Linked DNA regions of Caenorhabditis elegans. The protein of the gene in region 1 interacts with the protein of each later gene in a pairwise test. Each region holds a gene or a part of one and is shown in the gene's direction. Other genes may lie near its edges.

Region 1 (7,008 bases):
CGTGGGAATATGTTCAAACTGAGAAGGAGAGTACAACAAAATGCCAATATTATCACTCACATAAAACTCATGTTGACTTTCTCTGGTTTTGACGTCTTTCTATTTACAATTACTAGACAATTAGAAAGAAAGAGACCTCTGGATTTTTAATTTTAAAAATTCAAATTCTCATAATAGACAGCATTTGTTTTTTTGTGAAGTTTTTTCCCAACAAAAGATGTACGCGGAACGTTTTCACAAATTGACATTGTTTTGTTTTCCCTAAAACCATTAACTTCCGACATGTCTCTGTTGGCTTTTCTTCTAGTCACCATCAAGACGACATAACATTTCAATGTATAAAATGGAATTAACAAATTTTATTGAAACTTCAATTTTCTCTTGTAGTTTTGTATCAAAGTGCCTAACTTTGTTTCAAAAAATTTCCACACTAACATTCAATCAAAGGTATTTTTAAACTTCGAGCTAGAAGTTTGTATTTTTGTTTCAAAATACATCATCTTACTTTATTCTTTTCTAGTTGCAAAATCCTAAAGTTCAAATGATGCATAATTGAGTGTATGCTTGTTCAGTTTTGCTGCATATTACCAAAACTAATTATGCTTCTGATTGTTTTAAGGTTACAACACTTTGAATTTGCGTCAATTGTTTTACAATTCTTTATATAGATTTTTAATTGAGTTAAAAATCACCGACTTCCGTTTTAAAATGCCCCTATTCTTACAAAAATTTTAAATTGAATTATCCGCACAATTTATTGTGTGCCATGCCTGTTTATATTACCAAACTGTCATATTTTCTTATGCACTGTAATTTTAACAATGTAAAGTTTTTCACTCGACGTACTATTTTTTTTTGAATTGCAGTAAATTTTGCAATATTTTTGTTTTTGAAAAACTGGCAACCTGAGGAAAACGGAACTGTTTTGTAACTTCAAAGAAGCAATTTTAGAAATTTGCAAAAGTCTGAATTCTAAAATTCTAGTTCAAATCCTTGTGATGTATAAATTATCCTGTCATCTTGGAGATTTTGGATAACATTTTGAATGTATCAAAATGTTAGAATCTGGTTTCTCGTGAAAAATTAAATTTCATTACATCTCAGAATGTTTCACGATTTTGATCTACATCTAATATATATAACAGGTAAACTTGTTCAAAAATTGATTTTATAATAGTTTATATTATGGGCAGCCCGTGAAGCTTGAAATGAGTAATTTAAAAAAATAAATCCGCTGCACGTTTAGCTTAATACTTGAAAAAAAGTTGAACAGTTCTATCTCATCAAATACATCTTTAATCTCTTTTTTTTTGACTTTTGCTTTGTTGCCATAAAGCTATTTCAAAATTGTACCATATGGCAAATGAATGCTTTTAAGGTTTGTTGTTGAACAAGAATATTCGTTAGCCCTCTTTTCGGAAATGTATGCGCTTACATATGATCTTTCAAAACTCCGCCTCTTTTCTGTCTGCGCCATAGCTTCTCTGTGCTCTCTTTTCTACAGTCAAATGTCTTATGCTCATTTTTTTTCAGTTGTGGATCTTGATGTCTCCTCCTTTCCGTTCTCTCGATTTTATTTTTTGCTATTCTTTGGAAAGGCGTCAATTTATTATAGGCAACGCGTGAGCTAAATTTTGAACTTTAGTATAAAAAAAGCGACGAAACAATGCGATACAAAAGCTTGTTCTCATTTACAAAACTGACATTTTACGTAGAGACTCAAGTCTTGGCAAAATTTTAATCACACGAAATTTTATAAAAGTCTGAAAAAAGCTGTGAATAATTTAGATAGCCTCGAACACATGCAGAAGTGTGCAAAACTGATAGAATGCTAATATAATGTTTGAAAATTTTTAACAGTGTGTACCTAGATTTAGTCACTAAAGTATGTGCTATGTTACAATTCTTCTATTTTTTTTTCATATATCCTTTTATTCACTGGTGGGCCATAAAAATATATCTCAGATTGATCATATTTAAATCTCAAACGATGGAAGCCAATTCTAACAGAATAAGCTTTGTGAACCCAACTCAGACCCCACAATACGGTTTAAATGAAGAATTCAAAGGAGATCCACAGTCAACGATTAAAAGTCCAGAAACGCGGGTATGTTTTTTTTCAATCTTTTGAGAGATATAAACTGTGCTTGTTTTAAAGTAAATGGAAAAAATATGAGACATGGTCTTGCGAGCATTTTTTGTTTTTGCCAGTTTAGTGGGGATGAATGTTTACCACTGTCCTTAATTTTGTGACAGATGTTCTTCCTCGTACCGCACCGGCACGAGCACTGGCCGGTGTTTTTTTTTCAAAATCTCCACTCACACTAAAACATGAATAACACCAGTTGCTTTTGTTGATTAATGCTCGATTTTCAAGTTATGCAAAAAAAAAAATTAAGGGACTTAATGAAAATGCGTGCAATGAAAATGAAAGAGTATTTTGCTGTGCTCACATGGAGATACAGAATATCATTGGTTCATCCTCACCCAAAAATTTAAAAATTTTTAATTTATAATATTTTGAGTGGATTTCCAGCTTCCTGCCAAGTATGAACGTTTTGCTCCACAGATGACTACATACTACACATTCCCTCCAGCGAACCCGGCGTTTTTCTCGCAACCGATGTATCCCCAAAGTTCGTGGATTCCGGAAACTCAAAATCCTTTAGTGTATTTTCAAGGTGCTCCCGTGGTGCAGGTAATTTAAACCAGATAATTATAAATTTAAATGTTGTTTCATGTTTGAATTCAGGATTATTCTACATTTTCATCAGCCCCATACCCATCTCAACCACCCAATAATTGGAATGTTCAGGTTCGGACTTTTATTGACACATTTCGAAATTAAAATGTTACAGAATTTTACAAGCTACCAATATGCAAACCAAAATCACCCAGCACAACTGCCACATCAAAAATACTACAATTCCGAGCAATATGCTTTACAAAGTCAGGTAAAAATCAGAATTTCAATTGAGAACAATTACGTGGCATTCCACATTTTTTAAACCTACCATAATCAGACCATGGACGGAAAATTTATTCAGCCATGTAATCAATACCAAATGAACAAGTTGTGTTGTGTATCTCCTCCTTATCAGTACCAACCAAGGACTCCAAATGCTCAAAGCTCGCCGAACCTGAAGGACCTGAATTATTTGGATGTAAGAAAGAAGTTTAATGTTTTACAATTAAATTGAATACGTTCAGTAAAAAAGTAGTGATTTTGGAAGTTATTGTAATAAAAAAAATAGGTCGGAATGAAAAATATAAAAGGTTGACTCAGAAAACTCGAAAGCTGATGCTCACTTAAAAAAAATCGGAATTTTCCTGCAATCGGCAATTTTGGCAATTGTCAGTTTTCAAATATTTTGGCAATTTTGGCGATTGTCGGTTTTCAAATATTTCGGCAATCGGGGATTCCGAAAATTGCCGAAATTGCTGATTGCCGGACATTTTCGGCAATTTTCAAACATAATTATAACTCAAAAAATGAAAAAAAAAATCACCTTGTTAGTATTTGGTTAGTCATTTTCTAATAGATAACGGCCAAAACTTTCAGGATTTAAACATTTTAAGCTTGAAAAGAAAACATCTTCTTTTAAATGCATGTTTAGACTCAAAAATTTACAAAACGTATTAAATTTATGTTCCCGGCAATTCTGGCTTCCGGCAATCGGTAATTCCGACAATTGCCGGTTTTCAACATTTTCGGCAATCGGCAATTGCGGCAATTGCCAAAACTGCCGAAATTGGCGAAAATTCGATTGCCAAACGACAATTGCCGCCACCTCTGTTTCAAATGTAATTTTGCCCTTTCCGTAAAAAAATAATCAATACGTTCATTGTTCATCTCTCCTTGAGATCGTAACAAAACTACCTAAGTGAAATATAATTTTATTTAAATTTTAACTAGTGTCAAAAAAAAAAATTTCATGAAAATCTTAATCATCTTTACAGCATTTGACTCCGTTTTTATTCCCACCGGACATTACTTCTCAATACAGAAAACATAATTGCCGAGGAAACAACCGTAACTCCAAGGTATCAATATTGATTTATTTCATTTTTGAATTGAGTTATTTAGACTAGCAATTTCCGGAGAAACGACAGGAAAAACCAACATGGCCATAACCAAAACCGTTCAAATCAAGTATCCAGACAGCATTTGCCAAACAATAATGCATCATCTTCATCCTCCTCATCAGGTGTCGTTTCCGAATTACCGCTGTCTCCTAACAAGACTGAGCTTAAAATTGTCATATCTCATGGAAATGAAACAGTTTGTGTTCTGAAAACAAAAGGTAACAAGAGTCCGATACAATTTTTTTCTGTTTTTAAATTCATCTCTCGTTCAGATATTGATGGATGCAACGCTCAACAACTTTCGAATGTTGTTGAAATTCCTATGGTACTTGCTCCCTCCCTCTCAATACAATCTACTGACTCGTTCAACTCGGCTTACGAAGATGCCGAAGAATCTTTAATTCAACCACAAACTAAAAAGAATGAAGGTGACGCTTATGGAAAATATAATTCAACGCTCACAAATTGTCAAACAAGGAACCAATCGGAGAAAATGAAATCATCGCAATGCTTGATCGCAGATGTCGCCGAGAATGAGAGCCCGAATGAGACAGGGCCTGCTGAATTCAATATTTTTTGTACTGTACCGGAACAATCTTCTAAACGCTCAGAGCCCGACGTTATAGTTTCTGCTGCAAAATCAGTTACTGAAGTTGAAAATACAATACTTGCTGAACATGATACCGCTACTGCTGAAAACTTTTCGAACAACGATGAACCAATTCTTCTTAGCGTTACTAATCTTCACGATGAAACAAATAACAAATCAATAGATGTATCACTGAATCACCCATTGCCACCTTCGACAGAAACTGGAGTTGTCAGCGGCAAAGTTTCACAATTGGAGGCACCAATCAGTACAATTGTGCAGGAAACGATCCGAATCCTCGCCGAGAGAAATCTACTCCGTGACATCAATGACTTTCATCAAGAAATACATTTGAATGTCATGCAAGAAAATATTGGACAGTCTCTAGATCATGCTGCAATAGAAAATGAGGAACATCCAGAAACTGAAAGTTCCTTTGAAAGTTCAAGCGGGTAAGTTTTTTTAAAATGAAATTTCTTACGAATATTATGATACTCCAGTAGTTCCAACCCTTCTGTCCCCATTGAGATTGATCAAAAAATGCAATTCAACAAAAACAATCCATGGGAAAAATTGGAACAATATACTCCGTGAGTTTACAATAAATATTAATTGAAAACAAATTATTATTTTTGACATTCATGAAATTCAATTTAAGTTCTGAGTTCAACCGCCATTGTCATTAAAATTTCAGACCTTCAATCATTATAGTCTCGTGCGCAGATTCTTCACAAAGCCCACACAAAGCTTCGTAAGTTGACAACGGAAGTATTTTTTATAATGCACATCATGTTTTAGAACTCTCAAAAACCCCGGTTACGGCTGCTGTTCGGGCATTGGCAAGAAATCAAAATACAATAAGAAAGTTGACAAGAAAGAGTGAGTTGAACTAATGTGAAGAATGGTAAACTTGCATACAAACCAGACTTTTAGTCCTGAAAACGATGTTACAAGAATAACATAGGCATAGCTGTTTCGGAGTAAACCCCGGCCCTGATACTGAATAGGAACTAAAAAAAATATTTTACTTATTCACTCATTTGTTACTGAATCATTAACACTTATTAAAAAACCACCTGATCATGAGAATGCATACCGTTCTGGCGCGCGAATATCTCGTAGCGAAGGCACCTAAATCTTACATTTTTGAATGATATCTCGTTGCCGCTTTTTTTTTTCAGAAAATAGGCATTCTCATGAATTCGTGGTTTTTTAATAATTAATCATTCAAATGTGGCGAAAACATCTTGATAGTTTTTTCCTTTTTTTCCTGGGCAGTTATGTTGTCTGTGTACTCTACAGGTTCACTTCTCTCTACAGGCTCACAGGCCATTCTCGAGGGAAAACCTGTCAAGATGTTGTAACGTAGAAATTGAATGTATCAACTATGTTGGTGTAATAACTACTAACTAGCATAGTTGGTACATCATCAATCTTTATGACGTTGGTCGGAAGGATTCATGGCACTACTGATTTGACGTGAAAGTGGATAACGGGACTGAAAATAAATTTTACAGAGTTCTCCACTTGACAAACTTTCAACTAAACTAAGCAACGGAGCTGTGCGTTTCATTCTATCTGTTTTTGTGTTTTTTAGCTCATTCTCATTTTCCTGTATTCTTCAATTACTTTGTTTGTATAATTTTCGTTTAGCAAAATTTGGAATCCCAGTTCGAAATCCGGCCACACAAATCTTCTCTTCAACATTATGTGTATTCAACAGCAACCTTTCCATGTTTTCTCTTGAATATCAACTTTTTACGGTCAAAGTTGATCAAAATAAAATGTATCTTCTTGTGGATTTTTTATGAGCCCGAGTAGACTGTTTGAAAAAAACCTGTTTATTCACATTTGAATTCCACAGAGATCAAAAATCAATTATTATTTGTGGATACTCCTTTTTCCGCATCATTCAATTCTTCAGCTCGTAATAATTCCGTTTTCTGCCTCCATCTTCTTGGCTTACATGCAATTCCAAGAGTTCGGACAGCGAAGAATAAAAACTCAATCACGCTCATAATGCTTGCGCCTGAAAAATTCACTTTTTGAATTGCGAGTTACTCAAATTGTTTAAAATCACCTAAAAACAAGCCAGCTTGGCCACCCATATCGGCCATCAAGTTGAACCAAGAATACGACTCAGATTCTCTCAATATCTCATAGCTCATTTGTTCATAATAAATTTCAATCATTGCGGCGTGTTCTCTGAAAATCGATTTTTTGTCATTAACTGTCAACTAATTTATTTGAGAATAAATGTATTTTAGAAACAAAACCATTTTTCAAGTTACATGTTATATCCAAAAATTCTTTAAAAAAATGTTTTCTGATAT
Region 2 (4,969 bases), on another chromosome or scaffold:
TGGGACATTAAACACAGCTGTGCATGGGTCTCGCTATAAATTTAAGTGTGCTACTCGAGATTTAAAGTTTATATCGATGCTCCCAGTTTTTGTATTTATAAATTATATTTTTTGAAGCAAAAAAGAGACAGTCAAGAAGTTCCAAATAATGTTGGAACTCATGGGTTACTCGTCTAAGGTATATTGTGCAATCCAAACGAATTCCACGTTCTTGCTCTGAAGCAGTTGCTCTCAATACGTTTAGTTTGGGATTTTATGAATTTTTCGTCTTTCAGGCCTTTTCTTTTCTCAGAGCACCACTAGACACGTTTGTATAAGGACTTACTAGAAGTTTGTCTTCCAAAGTTGTCTGTGTTCTGAAAAAAATGTTCTCATTTCCTAATTAATTGTCAAATTAGACGAGAAAAAAAAACTGTTTCAATCCCAATTACCCAGTTACCATTCAGCGGTTTTTCCGTCATCATCTTTTTTCATCGTCTTCTCACTTCCAAACACAGTCTCAAATCTCTTCGACGTTCATAGTATTTCACAAGTTTAGATTGTCTTCTGAAGGTCTCTGATCTTCCCTTCCGTCACGTCCTCGAAAAATGAGGTCATTTTCTGAGCGGGTGGTGATGGAAACAAGATTTGAGAAGAGACTTAGATGACAAAGAAACCAAAACAGAAGGAAGTCGAAGTGGAACACGTGGGTTCTGGATTAGAGGTTTTTGCTGAAATTCGGAGGGAAACTAAGAAGTTTTATTTTTAGAGAAGTGATTCAAGTAAAACCTTTAAAAATTGAATTCTAAAAATGTAATTGTAATGTAGTAAATGATTTTGACGATCAATTTATCAGTTGTCCTCAAAATCTGATATCGTTAAAAATTTCAATTACAGCTTCACTTTTTTCTAGGAATCGGTTTTCAAAATCATGTGACAGCTTCTCAGCTTATCAGCTGAGCTTCTCACAATTTTGTCACAAAAACAAAGTGCAAAGAATTTGGAGTGAACGAGATTAGAAGGTTAATCATTTGAGCAAATATCAAATAGTTTCCCCCATATTCTCTCTTTCTATCGAATATATTTCTTTGCATGCGTATTTTCTCAGTTTTACCTCACGCCGGTAAACACGTCTTCTATTGCCCATCTACATTTAACCTTCACCTCTAAACATCCCTATCTTAATCTTAATTCGAAGTGGTATTTGGGTTTTTGCGGGTTCTTGTTGACAGCTAGATATGTGTTGGATAGCGAACATTTGTTGGGTTTTGAGAATTGTATCGAAAAACATAGCTCATTGGATTCCGTCGATCAAAATGAACTTGAAAAAAGATCTCAATGTTAAAGTTTTGGAAATTTTTGGGCATTGAAAGTTAAAATAAAGTACCGTGATCGCTATCCCAAAAACTACTTCTTTTGATTGACCCTGAGTAATTTTAAATTGGATGTCTAAAACATAAAAAATGTTAAAGCTACCGTATTTCCTTTATAAGTTGTACTCCCCGTTTCTTTGACAACCCACAGAATAACTTATTTCACAATTTCCAAAAATAATTCTCAGAAACATTTGAAAAAAGTAATGAACCAGTTTTCGTTAGAATTTTGCCATACTGAAGCTAATGATAGGAATACGGTAGTAAAAATTCGTGGAATTCTAAATTTTCTGAAGTAAAAATGGGTCCACATTTACGGCTTGTGTTATTCGCTGCTTGTGTCTATAAAACTTAATGTTTTTTTTGTTGTTTTTTTCAAAATGATTAGAACCTTGTGTTTTTGATGTTGTCTGACTATCAATCAAAAGTTTGGAAAATCCTTAGGAAAAGCTTTGAGTCAAACCAGTCAAAGGCTTCCAAGTCGGTACAACTAGCAGCCCTAACTATATCTCGATTTCATTTTCATAAGTTTTTTTTCTTCATCCGAATGTTCTCCATCATTTTCCACACATTCTCGATATATTCATTCTCTCAATTCTTGCAGTGTTCGAAAAAGTGAGTTCGTCGCAAAAGGGGCGGTCTCATTGTCGGCTGCTGCGCGGGTGGCGGGTCGACGTCTCGACGGTCAGCAGCCTCACCAACCCCGTTGGTTTGCGTATGTACCCAAGGACGCACTGACGATTCCCTACATTGATGAATCGGCAAACGTCTCATCCAGGCAAGTTGTTTTTTTATTTAAATTAATATTTAAATATCTTAAATTGAAAACCAGCACAACAGTTGTCCGAAGTTCCAATCTCACCTCATTCCCAAGTTGCCAAAAAATTTGGCATTGAAATATACTATCTTTATCATCTTTATCGTATGAGATACTAGTACGATAGGTTAACAGGAATGAAAATACCAACTATTGATACGACATTCAGAGATAAATTAATTTGGATTTTGAATGTTCTGAATGTAGAAGTAGAACATGAGCTTAGATGATTCTAATTTTGAAGTTCTAAAAAATAAAACAGCAAATTTTTAAATTTCGAGGGACTAGAAAATTAGCTGCTTGCTTTTTTGTTACAGAAATGAGTATGATTTTCAAGTTTTTCATGGATAATTTTTGAAACCTCCAAAAACAAATTTCCAGTACAAAAAACCTCAAACTATCAAGTTAATTGGATAAGTACAATGCTTTTTCAATTGTTTGTGCATTTTCGAAAACTCTTTATCTATTCTTAAATTAAAAAATGAAACATCAAATAATTTAATTTATTTTCCTCTTCAAATAATGAGTCTGACACCCCATCTCGATTTCACTTTTATTGAAACTCTGTAATAAATTAGTAGGTCAAGCTCATCAATCCCGGAAGCACTGTGTGACAGTCGGGGGTGTCTTGTTTCTCACAATGTCTCCCACAATCGAGACACGAAGTGTTTATACTACACAGGTCAACCCAATTTTGTTTGTTTACGTAATTCTATCGAAACTGCTCCTTTTGTTTTGAAAATGACGTGGCACAATGGGCGCCGAGGTGACCATGGCGGAGGAGAAGCTTAATTAAAATCGAGGAAAATTTGAAATCTTATTTGAATTGAACTGGAAACATTTTAGGAATCCGCAATTTTCTAAAATTTTAATTTTATTATTCAAGTTTCAGATACCGTTCAATATGTTTTGCCAGACTATTATTTCAATTTTCTAGATTTTTAAAAAATTAAATATACAAAGTTTTTCAAAAATAAATTCTTTAAAAAATTCCTACCTGCAACATGATAACTTCAGAACAACGACTACTACTCATACGAGTATCTGACGGAAACTACGATGAGAACACAAAACTAGTCGTCACCTCATTCTACCCACGCCGTCAGGAGGATGCCAATAATAATAGCACATCACCATCATCGGCCTCCTCATCCGGATCTGAAATATCAACTCGTCTTGTAAATATAACTCCTGAAGATGTCGTCAAATTTTTCGACGAGCATCCAACCTCATCATATATATTCACAAAAGGTCCAGAACCAATCAGACATGTGCTCATACCATTGTTCGCGAGAAACGAACTTTGTGTTCCACATCCACTTCATCATTATTATGATATCAAACATTTGTATTACGGTAATCAAGAAGAAGATGGTATGGAACAAGAAGAAATTGAAGATGACGTAGCAATTGCCAGGGCCATTTTGGATATGGATGACGGTATGTGTTTCATAAAATCGATTTAGGCGAAAACCTATTAAAATTTGAAGTGTTCAGAGCCACTAATTTAGAAAAAAATTATGACATTAAATCACATACAGCAATGATTGCTCTTACATTGAAAATTATTTGACTATTATTAATTCAAGTAATTGATGTTATTTTTGAGTTGCATTCCTATATCCATCGTTTGTAGTTTGATTACTTGCTTCGATGATTCTGGATAAGATAGATATGGTGGTAAAAGAATGCCCTACTGCTGTGATGAATGGTTTCAAAGCGGGAAGGACCTGTCACCTTTTTGGTGTCCTTTCAAGGGCCACACCGCCCGTGTTTGTCTCTTCTTTTGCCTTCACCATTTTCTTTTTGGAATGGGGTTTTCTATTGTGTGAGATATTGAATGGGAAAAAATACAAGTGGGTGATCTTGGGATAATGACTCGGTATGGGATTCTGTGACTTTACACATAAATTATTGTTTCAAGACAAAATAAGATTTTGCGAAGAATGTTCGATGCAACATGGCTAGTAGGGATCAGGGGCATTTGAACAAAATTTCAAGTTTTTCTTAAAATATTAATGATGTCCAAATAAATTGATAGATGTTGGCAAAATTCAAATGTTCCTATGTATGTATTTTACATTAAAGGTTCTCCTGATCATCTTGTTTTCTCTACTTCTCACCTTCCCACACTTTCTCTCAATCACCATTCGGGTCTCTTGTGATATATTTTTCCATAGAATGTAAACAGTGCGTACCAGTCAAGGTGTCCGAATGGATGATGGCTCTATGGCTCACCGCGCGCACAAAGGAGGGCAAACATGTGGAAGAGACGGTCCGTTTCTATGGTAAAATATGAAGAGAAATAGGAAGGACAAGTGAAAAAACGAGGAAGTTTTGGCAATTTTTTGTGGTTAAAAATTCGGTTTTCGAACAGTTCATATGTAGTATACCTACGTAGGAAATTGATGAGATAAGGATATTGACGGGAAATAGAAAGGGATCAATTTGGGAATGAAAATTGAAATCCATCGGAATATATTACAAATTAAATAAGATCATGTTTATTTTCAGAACTTCTCGAGAAAACCCATCAATTTGTGAATATCGAATACCAGCCTGCACCGATTCTGGAAGATCAAGAAGTCGGCGCCGACGGAGACAATGTTGTATGTAGAGCCCGTGGATTACCATGGCAGGCTTCTGACCATCATGTTGCACAATTTTTTGCTGGATTGGATATTGTGCCGTGAGTGTTTTTTGATTCAAATATTGTCAGAATAAATGTGGCATTTCGGTCATTATTTTTGAATTTTATGTTCCAAAATTCGATAAATACCTGTACAAACTCCAGTCATAG

The links. Proteins that work in one complex are often made in the same cells at the same time.
Region 2: the proteins of E02H4.2 (region 1) and sym-2 interact in a two-hybrid assay, tested with the Caenorhabditis elegans proteins (one large-scale study listed by BioGRID).

What each region holds. Positions count from the first base shown.
Region 1 is NC_003284.9:14,276,582-14,283,589, reverse strand, and holds E02H4.2 (MIF4G domain-containing protein), read left to right. Parts: upstream 1-1,963; 5' UTR 1,964-1,990; coding exon 1,991-2,107; intron 2,108-2,536; coding exon 2,537-2,698; intron 2,699-2,752; coding exon 2,753-2,815; intron 2,816-2,858; coding exon 2,859-2,954; intron 2,955-3,047; coding exon 3,048-3,164; intron 3,165-3,960; coding exon 3,961-4,044; intron 4,045-4,087; coding exon 4,088-4,304; intron 4,305-4,358; coding exon 4,359-5,127; intron 5,128-5,175; coding exon 5,176-5,265; intron 5,266-5,369; coding exon 5,370-5,426; intron 5,427-5,473; coding exon 5,474-5,554; intron 5,555-6,192; coding exon 6,193-6,226; 3' UTR 6,227-6,468; downstream 6,469-7,008. Other genes in the region: Degenerin del-1, read right to left, coding at 6,550-6,704, 6,756-6,880.
Region 2 is NC_003280.10:9,185,468-9,190,436, reverse strand, and holds the start of sym-2 (RNA-binding protein sym-2), read left to right. Parts: upstream 1-2,105; coding exon 2,106-2,130; intron 2,131-3,186; coding exon 3,187-3,609; intron 3,610-4,683; coding exon 4,684-4,858; intron 4,859-4,969. Other genes in the region: twk-4 (Potassium channel domain-containing protein), read left to right, coding at 1,957-2,130, 3,187-3,217.